Linked DNA regions of Drosophila melanogaster. The protein of the gene in region 2 interacts with the protein of the main gene of each other region in a pairwise test. Each region holds a gene or a part of one and is shown on either strand. Other genes may lie near its edges.

Region 1 (6,302 bases), 9.1 Mb from region 2:
ATATAAACTGTTTTTCCAATGCTTTCAAACTTAAGAATCGAATATAAGCAAATTTGAATATTTATTACTTATGGTAGTACATTATGAAGATATATTTTTTTACTAATGTGAAAACATACTAGCAATACTGTATATATATATATATATATATATATATAGTATTATATTAATCATATAATAATCAGAACAATCACAGATTATCAAGACAACCAGGAATCCGATATTTAGATGCGAGGCAAGAAGATATTTCAAAACTTAGTTAGCGTATCGATCGATTTCAAGTAAAAGGAAAATCGAAAAAAAAAAATTTCGACATAAAAGCTATTTAAAGCGTGCCAACCACTTTTATTCGTATCATTCCTAAAGCTTGTACAGCTAGTTGTCTTATTGAATTCCTTATTGTTTTGATTTCACAGACCGAGTTAAAGCAAAGACAATAGAATTACAAGATGCGTAACGGCCATTCATTGGTTTTGCACTATGCAGCCACTTTTTTGTTGACGGTCAAAATTGCTCTCTCTCCGCTTGAGTAAAATTGAGAGCGGTATAAAATCGAAAAAAATAATACACTTGCTTGTGTGTGCTAAAAGAATAAACGAGAAAGCAAAGACACTAGAATAACTAGCGTCTTTGGAGAATGTTTGTATGTGTGCGTACTTGTGCTAGAAGACGATTTTCGGGCAGAAATCAATTTTGATCTAAGATCCGATATAACATATTTAGAGTTTCGGGCAATTTCGTTGCAAAATGATCTACTCAAATAATATTTAAACATGTATGCCTTGACTATTAGATTTTTAAAGTGTTTCATATAAATGTTTCATATCTTAATTTGTGTTTATAATTAATAATATGTAAAACGGGACTGACGACATCTTTTGCGACATCAATTTTTAAAGTTGCAATGTGAAATATTTAAAAAAAAAATTACATTTCAAAAAATAAATTTCTAAATAATAATAAAAACATACATACATACATTAAACACATAAAGAAAACGTAGAGTTTCTTGACAGTCTCAAAATTCTTTTCTTTATATTTAATATTTATAATTTGTTTTTTGATTTATAAGTAAAACAAAAATATATTTCATAAAAAAATAGCGTTTGAACATTTTTACCTTTAAGGTCAAAAATTCAACTTATTTCACAGTGTGTAAACAGTTTCTTGACAAACTGTATATACAATATATAAAAATACGTTGACTGTTTATTGCAAAAATGATTTCTTGAGACACGAAGTGCGAACATAAGCACCCAACAATCATTGTCTCCTTTATTCTTACGCATACAGTGACAGCCGAAGAGGGCAGCTGGCTGTATATCTTTCCGCACTCTGGCTCTTAAACAAACATTCGAGAGAGCCTGGAGCCATCTCTAGAGCCAGCACCAAAAAATCGAGAGAAAAACAAAACAGAATGCTGTAGTCGAACGTAAAATTGCATACATTTTTTGGGATATCGATAGATAAAGATAAAATAAAAAGGATTTAAAAATGGTTTAAAAGTGTGGGCGTGACCGTTTTGTTGGTAAAAGGGGAGGCGTGGTTACGGTGTTTTTGGTATACCGATAAAAAATTGGCAAGACAAACAAAAATGAAAAAAAATCTAAACATTTTTTTAAAGTGTGGGCGTGACAGTTTGGGGAAGTTTTAGGGCGTTAGATTAGGCGTGGCAAAAAGTTTTTTGGCATATCGATACAAATTTACAAGACTAATTAAATTATTGAAAAATATCCAGAAATTTGTTCAAAAATGTGGGCGTGGCAGTTTTTGGCGGTTTAAGGGCGTTAGAAATTTTTTTTTTGTAAATCGATAGAAATTTACAAGACTAAAAAAAATGTGAAAAAATATCAACACATTTTTTAAAAGTGTGGGCTTGACAGTTTTGTGTGGTGTGTGGGCGTTAGAGTTTGCGTGGCAACATGGGTCACAAACTTGCGCTGCGTCTATGTTTTTAGAATCTGTATGCTGAATCTCAACATTTTGGCTGATCTTGATGCTGATATGGACAGACGGACATGGTCAGATTGTCTCGATCAAGAATATATGTATTTACATATGTTTGTATATACTTTATATAGTCGGAAACGCTTCCTTCCTCCTGCTACATAGTTTTCAACGGATCTAGGAACCCTGTTACTCTACGGGTATAACGAGTATAACAAATAGCGTATAGTCTGAATGACTAAAGGATGTAGTGAAGTAAGTTAAAGTAAACTTTACATTGTGTGAATTAACAATATGCTAGTGTAAAAGCGGCTTGCGCCGCCTTCATTGAGTTAAGCCTGCATATTACCTTTTAAAAGAAAAGTAGTGATGCAGTCTTGGTTTAAATGTAATTTTTATACTAACCAAAATTTCGTATTGATTCAACTTTACTGTTAAAGTTAATAGAAAATAAATGAAAAGTTGCTACAGCACCGACGAACTATTCATAAAAAAAAAATTCGAAAATCATATAACTGAAGCAAGCCCATGGCCAGATCGACTTGTCTAGTAATCCTGATCAATAATATAGTTATTTATATACATATGCTTAAATACTTTATGCATTAGGGAAACGCTTCCTTCCCTATAATATATTCTCCAACAAATCTTTAAGATTGTATGCAATTACGTATGTATGTATTTTTGGTGATATCAGATTCACTCCTAATTAATATTCTTATAGTGTTTTTGTACGCTCATACAAATTCAATCCAAGGAGATTGAATACATGAAGTTCAATATGTACAGATAAGTTTTCACATATAATTATTTTTATCACATATCTCAAATTTTTATCTGATTAACGTTTATAAATATGAACATACATATGTTCTTACATTCCATATTTATAATTAATTGATCAATTCCCACGTTAGATATGTGTGAATTTCATTTATCAGTTCCTGTGAAACTTACATTACTTTTATCTTGTCGATTTGCTATGATTAAAATAAAACAACACATAAAGCAAAATATCACTCAGGAACCTTTGATGCACAAAACATTCATTTGTTTGTATATCCACTTATACCGTACATCAACAGTGTTGTGACATGTAACGATTTTTGTCATGTGCGGAATGAGTGGGATTTTGGAAAAGACTAATAATTTCTTCGAAATTATATAATTTAATTTAACTTCAAAGACCGAAGTTTGGTAAAGACTTTCTAAGTCAAGCCGTTTCAAGATTTAGCACAACATAATGTAAATTAAACAAATTTTAAAATCTTTTTAAATGAAGTTATTCATTTTATCACCATATTACAATTTTTTAAATTAAAGGTATCTGATTGACCCCATGCGTAAAAGTAACTTGATAAGTTTACAATTGCAAATTTTTGGTTTACCCAAACCAAAAAACTGTAATAATTCATAAAAACAATTATCTGTCTCGCTTGTTTTTACGGTATGACAGGCACATTTTACCTACTGTCGCATTACGCCTAAACTGCCAAACAATTTTTCATTTTATTAATATTTATGCCAAAAGCTGGCATTAGCTGAATAACGGGTAAATAAAAAAATATAAATATAAAATAACTAAAACAGTTTATTTTACTCGGCGTTATTAATTGAAAACCGGGTTCTCCTTACCGAATACGGCTCGTTCAAAGAATAATAAAGAATAATTAGATGCTTAACTGCCATATATTGTTTTTGCAGGTTGCACTTTTTTTGATGACATCCGATTGTTTATTGCGACTCCGCGCGGCAATGTGCTTCCTTCTACATTCTTGGCTTTGACTTTACGCGACTGAACTGCCTCTCAGTTCGTTCAACGTATGATACGATAATATACTGTTATTCTACCGCTCGTTTTACATACGCTTACAAATGGTAATATTGTACCTAATTTCAACAACTGTCCTTAATGTTACCATTTTTCAATTAATTTCTCAAAAATTTACACAACATTTCTCATGTATAAGTTTTGACAAAATCTTTTTTACATGTCGGCTATTATTAAACATATCGTTCAAAATCGCTACACAAAACTCGTCTTTTCATTGCTCAAAAACAGCTAATAAACAATAATTTGCAACAAGCTCGCAAAGCTGTTTAAAGCTTTAACACTTCAATTAAGTAGCACTCCGGCATAGGACGTCGCTGCCCCCTCTTGGGCGAGCTATCTGGCTGGACTTCTATTCTATGTTTACTACGATAATAGATAGCCATCCTGAACTAACAAACATAGAAAAGTTGCAGCATCTAAGAACATGTCTGAGGGACACTGCACTTGAAATATCGGATGGCAACTATGCTATAGCATTGAATTTGTCTGTTTGTTTAATATTCCAGGCACACATTACTGAGATTCTAGGGCAAGGGCAGTTCAGAATGGTTCCGTTTCAATGCTTTGTAAACTGTGTGATAAATTCAACGCTCATATTCGCGCGCTAAATGGAATGGGCTCAACGACACAAATCGTTGGATGAATTATCGCCCAAGTACTTATCCAAAAGCTGGATCCGGAAAGTCTGGCGAAATGGGAGCAGCATTTGGAGAACCAGTCTTAAAGAATTCAATTCCAACATGGCATCGTTTCTGGAGCAGTGTTGCAGGACGCAGCCGTAACAAGCTATGCGTCAGTCAACCAGGTGCAAAGTAGCAGAACATCTGATTTGTGTAGGTCTGTCCTTCTTGCCTCAAGCCTCAGCCCTGCGACCTGTGAGTTCTGCAATGTTTCTGGTCACTAAATTCATTAATGTAGAGCTTGAAAAACCTGACCACCGCTAATAGATTCATAGAAGCGAAAATCTTCGCATTTTAATAAATTGCTTTAGGACCGGAAATAAAATGAGGTAGGCAACTCCGATAAAAAGTTTAAGAAAAATGTTTTGTTTTCTTTTTTATCTCAAAATTCTATTTAATTAAATACGGGTACAATGCTTTTTTCTAGGATATCTTTTCCATTAATAAAATAATAATCTTCTTTAATAACATACTTTTACTGCTATATGACATAGTGTTCAAATTTCAATCCAATGAATTTAATATAAAATATATAAATAACAAGAGATAAGAGTAAAAATAGTTCCAAAGTGTAGGCGTGACCGGTACGGTAGTTTTGTCTCTAGAATCTTTACGCTGAATCTCAACATTCTAGCTGCGATCTTGATGTTCATATGGACATTTTTAAACAGTTTATTATTGCACAGCGCTGTACCGTTGGGCAAAAAAATTACCTTCGCTTTTTATTCTGGTTACTCGTAGAATTAAAGGGCATACTAGGATATATAACAGGCAGAAGGAAGCGTTTCCGATCACATAAAGTAAATATATTATTGATCAGGATAAATAGCCGAGTCGTTCTAGCCATGTCCGTATTAACGTATCAACAACTATAATAGCTAGAAGGTTGAGATTCAGCATTCAGAATAGAAGACAAAGAATAGAGACAAAGACGCAGCGCAAGTTTGTTGACCCATGTTGTCACTCCCACAAACCGCACAAAACTGCCACGCCCACACTTTTGAAAAACGTGTCGATATTTTTTATCACATTTTTATTTGTCTTGTACATTTCTGTCGACTTTCAAAAAATGTTTTGCCACGTCCACTCTATCGCCCTAAAATCTCCCAAAACTGCCACGCCCACAATTTTGAAAAACGTTTCCACATTTGTTCATAATTCTATTATTTTTGTGAATTTTTATCGATTTGCAAAAAAAATATTTGCCTCGGCCACCCTAACGCCCTAAAATCGCCCAAAACTGCCACGCCCACATTTTTGAAAAACGTTTCCATATTTTTTCATAATTTTATTATCTATGTGAATTTTTATCGAATTGCAAAAAAACTTTTGCCTCGGCCACTCTAACGCCCTAAAATCGCCTAAAACTGCCACGCCCACATTTTTAAAAAACGTTTCCATATTTTTTTATAATTTTATTATCTATGTGAATTTTTATCGATTTGTAAAAAAAAATATTTGCCTCGACCACTCTAACGCCCTAAAACGCCCAAAACTGCCACGCCCACATTTTTGATAAACGTTTCGATATTTTTTCAAAATTTTATTAGCCTTGTAAATTTCTATCGATTTGCCACTCCAACGCCCTAAAGCCAGCGAACTGGTCACGCCCACTCTTTGGAACTATATTTAAGTTTTTTCTCATTTTATTCCCAATATCTATCGATCTTCCAGAAAAATTATGAAATTTCACGTTCGCATTCACACTAGCTGAGTAACGGGTATCTGATAGTTGGTGATCTTGTCTATAGAATTCTCTATTTTTTTGTTATCAATCAGGTGATTACCCTGGGCTTTCTTTGGTTTTAGTTTACTCACAAAGCACTGCAATTCTTCTAGAG
Region 2 (8,100 bases):
TTTAACAAGCCCCTGGCTTCATTCAGGAGCCGCCAGCCAACCAACTCCCAACCGAAGAAGCCGCATTGATCTGGAGAGTGTCAGGCGCTTTAGCATATTGTGATTCATGTGACGCTCTGCCGCGCTGCTCAAGACAGCCTTTTAAGTTGGATACCCCCAACCCGACATCCCCACATATATAAATATACATACATATATATGTATATGTATATGTATATATGTATGTACATTTGGGGGACAATTGTCACAGGAGTTGGCAATAAAAAAGTTAAACTTGCGGCTTCCTCTTAATCTAAACATTGTCATCCCATATTTCTGGCTAATTTTAGAAAGCGTTTCGCTGCATCTTGCAACATTCGGTTGACAAACTGACATTCCAGCAAATGGGACAGTAATTAAGACAGATCCACCGCTTCGGTGAGCTGTCAATACCTTTTGTCTAGCCACTGGTCGTCTATTCGCCGTGTTGGGACCAGTTGGGGATACTCTGAGTTGCGGACAGGTATGTGACAACAATTGGGCAGATTTGTCTCGGATTCAGAACAAAACAGAGTGAAGAACAATGGCATTCTATTATTCGGGAGATTTTGTTGCTGGGTATGTCATAGAACGATTTAGACACTGATATGGAAATCAGTGCATATTTCGAAATTATCGTGTAACTGGCTTATCTGAAAATTATGGAATTATAATAGTGAGTTCTAATTACTGCGCTTTCTAATCTGATCTAGTTATCCATAAGATTAACATGTTGGAAATGGTTATTTTCCTATTAAATTTAATTATATACCAATTTCAATTATGCATGATTAGGCTCTAGTGCCAGCGTTCCAATTGAGATAAATCCCATTGGTAATCCGATTAGCTTCATATACATTTTAGAAAGCTTCTGCCCAGCAAAATGGTAATGAACAACCTTGATATATAATTTATGTAGATCTGATTGCGAGCTCCGCTTAGAATCCAATCTAATGCTCGATTGCATAGTTAGGCATCCGAGATTTGCCCACCAAAGAGATGCATGCCTAGAATGGCAAATCATTTGGCGCCTCAACTGCGATCTCGTATTGGGCCAGTTTTGCAGCCTGGCAGCCTGTGGAGAAATGCAAGCGGTGCGGCAAGGTAATAAAAGCCATTTTGGTTTTCGGCCACAGTCAAAGCCGGCTCGGCTCGACTGGCGAGGCTGAATCTGGATAAAGTGGCGGAGTAGGAGGTGGCTGGTGGGACCTGGAGGTGGGTGTGGCCACAGCGCCTGGCGAAGAGGCATCTGCCGTGGCTCTCCATTTGCTCCATTTGCAGTCTATTGGCTGCCTGCTGCGGCTGCAGGCGCCCCGCATACAAAACAGATTTCCAGAGGCCCAGCACAGCACAGTGCACAGTGGAGCTCAGCGCAGGCCAAGAAAACGAGTTTGGCCCAAACGACTTGGCACGACTTGGGCCCAGTTCCAGTTGGAGGTTGGGGCATAGGTAGGGGCGCTGGTGTATGCCAGCATGGATAAACTTGTGGAGCTGGAGCTGCGGCCCAGGTGTGATGTACTTGAATAACTTAACGACGCAGGCCCGGTCTTTCAGCGGGCCGCGATGAGTTGTCGGTCGGTCGGTCGGTCGATCGGATCGGCCATTTACGCATACATATGCATGGCCGCCTATATAATCGTACGTATATGCATATATCTGTATGGCCGCATGTAGATGCTGTTGACCAATAAGCATAAACATCCCAGCATCCGGGCCTAAAGAGCCGCCATCTTAGCTTTAATGAACATGAACATGAAGGTGAGCTACCTGCCTCGCTGCGAATGGGAATGAGATCGGTACGCACAATGGATTGGGCTATAAGGTATAGGTACCTCCATACCTGTGCCTTCTATATAGAGGCGATATATGTGTGTATGTATGTGTGACCTGGCCTGGGCATACCTAATTAAACTAATGAAGCAAGCGAAGAGAGTAGCGTCATCATCATCATCACCATCCATCTTCGAGGGCCGAACGTTGCCGAAGCTGCTGCTTTCGTTCGGCTAATGAGGTTTATTGCGGCTGTCGTCGCTGTGGATCCCCCCAGCCCCACTTCTTGAGGCACCACCCACCCCCATGCCATGCCGAAGAAACAACGAAGACCCAGTTCTCACACAAGCGATTTTAGGAGCATAAAAAAGATACAAAAATTTAATGGATTTTAGCACGCACACCAGCACACGCAGCCAACAGATACATGTACGTGCTCAGATACAGATACACATACAGATACTTATACGTATACACCCTCGCAGGTGGAGGGGTACTAAATTATATGGATTGCATGGAAATGGAGGCAGTGCTGCATGCTCGTACCACTAAGTAGAGTAATTGCATGTGGAGGATCCGTACTTAGCTAGTTGGCTGGATTCGAAAACAACTAACCGGACTTAAATCAGGGTGTTTTCAAAGGTTCCAACCCTTATATTTTTTTTTAGGGTTGACGTTTTACAGGGTGTTGACTGCCTTAAATGTTATTAGACCACTAATTAGTGCTATTAAAATTAATTACTCAGAAAACATTTATGTGGCTCATGTGAAGTAAGTTCGATTTTGCGGGCAGGAATATCTTTTAAAATCAGTTTTAGTTTTAGTTTCGGGTGTATTCCCGTGTATTAAGCTTTTTGTGATCTTCTGTTATGTATATGTTAGTGAATAAATTTGTATTCTTTTACATTTTTTTAAATTATCCTACAACCATAAAACAATTTTAAAGAAATTTTAAAAATGCGAAGTCCAACTTTAGGTCAGTTTAGTATAATTGCAAAACGTTTTATATAAATATTTTGTTAACAAATTATAAGCGTTTAAAACGGCAAGTTAGATTTGGATTTTTTCTCATGTATTTTTAAATCGACCAAAAGTATTTATCAGGTTTTTAAATCTACAGTGAAAGTACCGAAAATCACTTTTCTGCCATTCGGGAAATGTTGAATGAGCAATAATTTAATTTCCTTGGTAATCTGCCAAGTTTAATGCCAATCATGACATATCATTGATGTTACGTCGAATCGGATATGTCTAACCACTTTGGCGATCTCCTCTATTATCCTGTTTAATGGTAAATGTTTTTATTTTTCCACTTCAATATTACAGTTACTAAGCACGCATCTAAGGTTTCACTAGAAATCTGACAAAGTATTCAGTATTGTTTTTGATGATATTGAATATTTAAATTCCTAAAGAAATTCTTATATGATTTTTTGTTGAATGGAAAGGGATTTTTGCTCACATAATATAATAGTTTGATTGCCGTGAATGGCATGTAGTTGTAATACATTAAATTCTGTTATATCAAGTTAAAATAGGATTTCATTTTAAAATAGGAGTGTACTCTTCAGATTCATCAATACAATTAGGCGATTAAGCTGTCCAAACACGATTTATAAACATTTCGAAAGATTTATCTCTCTCTTCCAAGAAGTTACAACCATTGGAATCTCCTTTTACGTCAATGAAAACTTAAGTTCCTGGTTGCAGTAGGGAAAGTCCAGAAATGATCAAGCAAACATTAATTCTTAAATACTATTCACTTTTAGTATCCGGGAAATGTGTAAAAGGCGGACAATCAAAAACAAGTTCTAAAGGAAATAAGTAAATTTCAATTGGATATATGCATTTCCAATCCAGCTTAGTCACGGTAAAGCCTTAATTAATTTTCAAACATTGATTGGAAATCCACATATACAGATGGTTGTTTATTGGCCATAGAATTTTATTTGATATTGAAAACTATTTAGATTGAAAACGAAGTTAGCAAACTTTAGGTAGATCGCAGCCTTGACTTGATTTATGGGGCAGCCATAAAAGATCAAACTGAATGAAATGAAATGCCCCGTCCCGTGATGAGCCAATCCCAAGCAGGAAGATTTGGAAAATGTGACGAAAAATGCGACAGGCTTTCGCCCATGAGACATTCTTAATTGTGATTTTCGGTTTCGAATTTCTTACGAAAAGTGTGTGCGGACTTATCAGAGCTTTTCATCTGTACTTAATTTAATTTCATGGCTTCATTTCCATTCATAATTCCAGCCAATTTGTAGACGGGAATTTCCCGTCGGAAACTACGAAAGTCAGTCAGCTGAAATGGCTAGCTAATACGTATAAAGGGGAAATACTTATATACAGTCATATACTTATATATGGATATTAAAACCTCATGCGTATCTATCAAGCTGTGTAGATCGGATACAAATCTTTATAATGGCCTGACCTCTGGCCGAAATATACCAAATGTTAAGACTTCTTCTCGGTGCGTCGCCTGTGCGTTCTTGGCCTCTGCTTTTTCCCAGGGTCTCCACCCCCGCCGACTTCTCCGGCGTCTTGGTTTACTTTCCACTTGACCAATTTCGAGTCGCGTCCGAAGACGGTTCTTAAGTTATTCGCAGTCGACCATTTACATATTTACGTTTACGTTTACGTTTGCCGAGGGAAACGGAGAGAATCGAGAAGCGGATACGAATACAAGTGCAAGTGCTGCGGGGTCTGAAAACTGGGGCCACACCAAGGAAAATCTAAGCAAATTCCCAGATACTATATACTGTATAACCCCCATATATATATATTTATACATATATAACCGTGCTTTATAGTTGTAGCTTACTGCCACAGTGTGCATTCGACATCCCCGACGGTGTTTCTCGCTGTCGTGCCCGCCGCTAGTATCTTTGTATCTTAGTATCTTAGTATCTGTGATTGTGACTAAGTCTTGAAAAGTCGCAGTCATGGGCCCCCATATATATAAGTATATACATATTTATTGTATATATATATATATGTACGATCTAGAGAATTTCTTCACCACTACACGAGCGCCTTTTCCATTTTTCATTATGGTTATTATCTTGAAGATATGTATCTTCGCTTCGGTTGGATATAATTAAACAGCGAGAAAAAAATTTTAGCATGGGAAAAATGTAAATATTACTTGTAATTTGTTAGCAGATGATGTGGATGTTCGTGATCATATGAGGGTTCCATTTTTATACGGCAACGGCGATGTTCGTGGTAACGGTGACGGTGACGTTGATGTTGTTGCAGTTGCAGTTGTTGCTTCTGTTGTTGTAGTTGTTGCTGTTGTTTTTGCTGTTGCTGACGTCGGTGGTGGCAGGTTGAAATTGGTGTTGTTGTTGTTGTTGTTGGCTTTGCTTTAGCAGGGCCAGCAGCATTTTGCTTAATGTTGCATTATTCCGTTAGTTTTTCCCTTTGTCGGCGGTTCGGGTGGATTGGTGGGTGGTGGCGGTTGGTGGTTCGCTGGTGGTGATGGTGGTGCCACTACTACTGCTACTGATGTCTGCCGGGCCGAGCATTTTTGCCCAGTTACAGTTCCAACCATAAATTTATGTGCCACGGCATGTGTGAATTTGCGTCCATTTGTTGTCAGATTTTGTTTTGTTTGTGGCTCAGAGCCTAACCCACATTTTGGCCACAATTTCGCAATCACCGAGTGATGTAAATATATTTTTGAATCTCACTATTCACTGGTGATTATTTTGAAGATATTGAAAAATACACACTTCAAATTTGGATTTTCGATTGGCACTTGGTGTTGAAAAGATACTTTTCAACACCGGAACGATGTAAACTTTTTATTAAACAGATTGTGTCACTTTTTACATAGTTTTACCGGTATTGATCTACGTTCTTTAAAATCACTTGTTCATTAGTTTTTGGCCCTAAAGCGAGCTGTTTAAAGGTTGACTAACGAACGTATCCGTAGCCTAAAATCAAGGGCTTCGACATTTCACAAGATACAAACAGCGGATAGCGCTCTTGGGAAAATGAAAATTCACGGCACAACAGCAACTACTAAGCAAGTAACTAACTAACTAACTAACAAACTAACTAACTGGGCCTATGTACAGCGGGCCAGTTTGTATGTAGATATATATATATTTATGATTACAGCCCGGGGACGCAGATGGCGATGTCAATGGAGAGCCACCAGAGTCACTACCGAGTTCCGCCGATGCCAGGGCTTGAGTCAGAGTTAAAGGCGAACTGAAAGTCGGAGCCGCATGAACCACGCTGATGACGAACCGCAGGCCAACTGAACTCGACGACCGATCGACGCTCTCGCGAACTGGGGGAACTGTGAGCTGGCGGCTGGCAGCTGGGGAGCTGGGAGATTGTGAACCGAACTGAGGTGTCTCTGCCTTCAGAGCCCGTGCATAAGGCCAAAAAGCGAAAAGCCATAAGCTGAACCTTTCGCGCAGTCTTGAATCGAAACAGCCAGAGAGTGGCGGCAGCGGCAGCAGCAGCAGCTGTTCATCGATGCGGAACGAGCAAGTGGCTCTGGTCCGAGCCCAGGTGACTTGGCCCTGTCTCCCAGACTATGCCGTACCATAGACAAGTATACTTTACCCATAGCCTCCGAACCGAGAGCAGCGGCGAGTTCTTTTGAATCTAATGAAACACAGAGCTTGTTTAATATTCATTCGTTCGTTCGTTCGGTTCGTTTCGTTTTGTTTCGGACTCTCGCGATCTCTCGGTCTCACTTTCAGAAATGTAAAACCTGTTCCCCGAGATCCGTTTGTTGTGGGAGAGACAACTTTGCATTTGGTTTGTTTCAATTGGTGGAGGCCCCCAATGTCGTTGGGGTCCATATATACACAACCGTACGTCTGTATGTGCACATGCATATACTAGCGGATGGGGGGATAGCACCCATACACGGAAGCCAGCGTATGCAAATATCGTAATGTTCGGAACCTCTGGGAAAAGGGTGTTATTTGGATCAAATGGGGCACCGTCTTTCAGAAAGAGAGAGATTTTGCGAAAGATTCGCAAATGTTTAAATTGGCAATCTCTAAGCAAATGGAAAGCAACGAAAGTCATTAATCAAAAGGTGACTAAATGGGAATGAAAGGGATTTTCAGGCAGTTTGTAAAGAGTTTAAACTTACAAAACAATTTGTTAGTAGTAAGTCATACTATCTTGTTCACTATCAAATAGATTTTAACAGAATGTAAATCAAAAAGTAGCTCATAGATACAATATTCATAAATCTACACAAAAACTAATACATTCTCTGATCAGCAACTCAATAGTAACTATACCAACTCTCTTAACATTAAAACAAAGTTCTTATATATTTAATAAAATATATATCATGGAATAGATCACAGTTGAAAATGCTTATCTTAATACCATCTTACTGTCCATTAAGTATCCGCCCAGTGAGCCCAATGCCTTGAAAGCGGCTGTAATATTCAAATAGAGCCATATTTAATTTTTATTTCACTCTCCACCCACCAAAGTTTTTGGGGCCAAGCTGATTGGTATCCAACTGGAGATAAGCAGCCAAATTGCATATTGCAACAACTGCTGCCAGCGAACCGCACAGCCAAGCCCAAAAAATAAAAAAAATCAAAGGCACAAAAAAATCGAGATGAAGATGAGGAGGTAGAAAAGCGACGAACCTCCCAGAAGACGAGTCAAGTACGTTGGCAGGTAAAAGTGCATGCGGCCACGCGCAGGGCATTTAATAATAATAAACTCGTACTCGGATGGGGCTACCTCCATCCCCAAGCCCAGCCGGAGTTCATAATTAAGCGCCAGAATGCCGGGAAAGCCTTCGCTTCCTCTTGCCATAGATGCAAAATATTTGTTTATCACATCGCGATAATTGCCGCCGGCGATGCGAGGCCCAAGTCTTCGCGGATTCGTGGTCGTGGATTCGTCGATTTATGCATGTGCACAGGTGCGGGGCGGGGGATCGGGCAGCGGCCAAAAGGTTCCTCCGACCATCGGAGCATCGGTCAGACCAAAAGAAAGAAAATCCCAAAAGGGGGGGAGCAACTGCAGCGCAAGCGTGTGCCGATCGAGAAGGCTGGAGACTGGAGACTGAAGACTGGCGACCGAGCACTGAAGTCTGAAACCCCAAAGACCAAAGACTAAAGGCCGAGAGAACAGGAATGGGAAGCGGGGTAAAGATTGCGAATGAGGATCGGATCAAAGCGTGCCTCGGTGGTGGGTACAAGTTTATTGGCGTGGCGTATGTGCAAATAGCCGCTCCATCGACATCGACTGCTCCAAAAATGTGGGCGTGTGACACTTGAGCGGCTATCGCCAGCGAATCTC

Evidence for each region. The genes of interacting proteins can lie anywhere in the genome.
Region 1: the proteins of Sox15 (region 2) and gus interact in a two-hybrid assay, tested with the Drosophila melanogaster proteins (one large-scale study listed by BioGRID).

Annotation. Positions count from the first base shown.
Region 1 is NT_033778.4:5,125,322-5,131,623, forward strand, and holds the start of gus (gustavus), read right to left. Parts: upstream 3,001-6,302; 5' UTR 2,905-3,000; intron 2,203-2,904; exon of another isoform or gene 2,082-2,202; intron 2,022-2,081; exon of another isoform or gene 1,928-2,021; intron 1-1,927. UniProt on the Drosophila melanogaster protein: Involved in the localization of vas to the posterior pole of the oocyte. Required maternally in the germ line for efficient primordial germ cell formation.
Region 2 is NT_033778.4:14,206,343-14,214,442, forward strand, and holds the start of Sox15 (Sox box protein 15), read right to left. Parts: upstream 6,072-8,100; 5' UTR 4,999-6,071; coding exon 4,946-4,998; intron 1-4,945.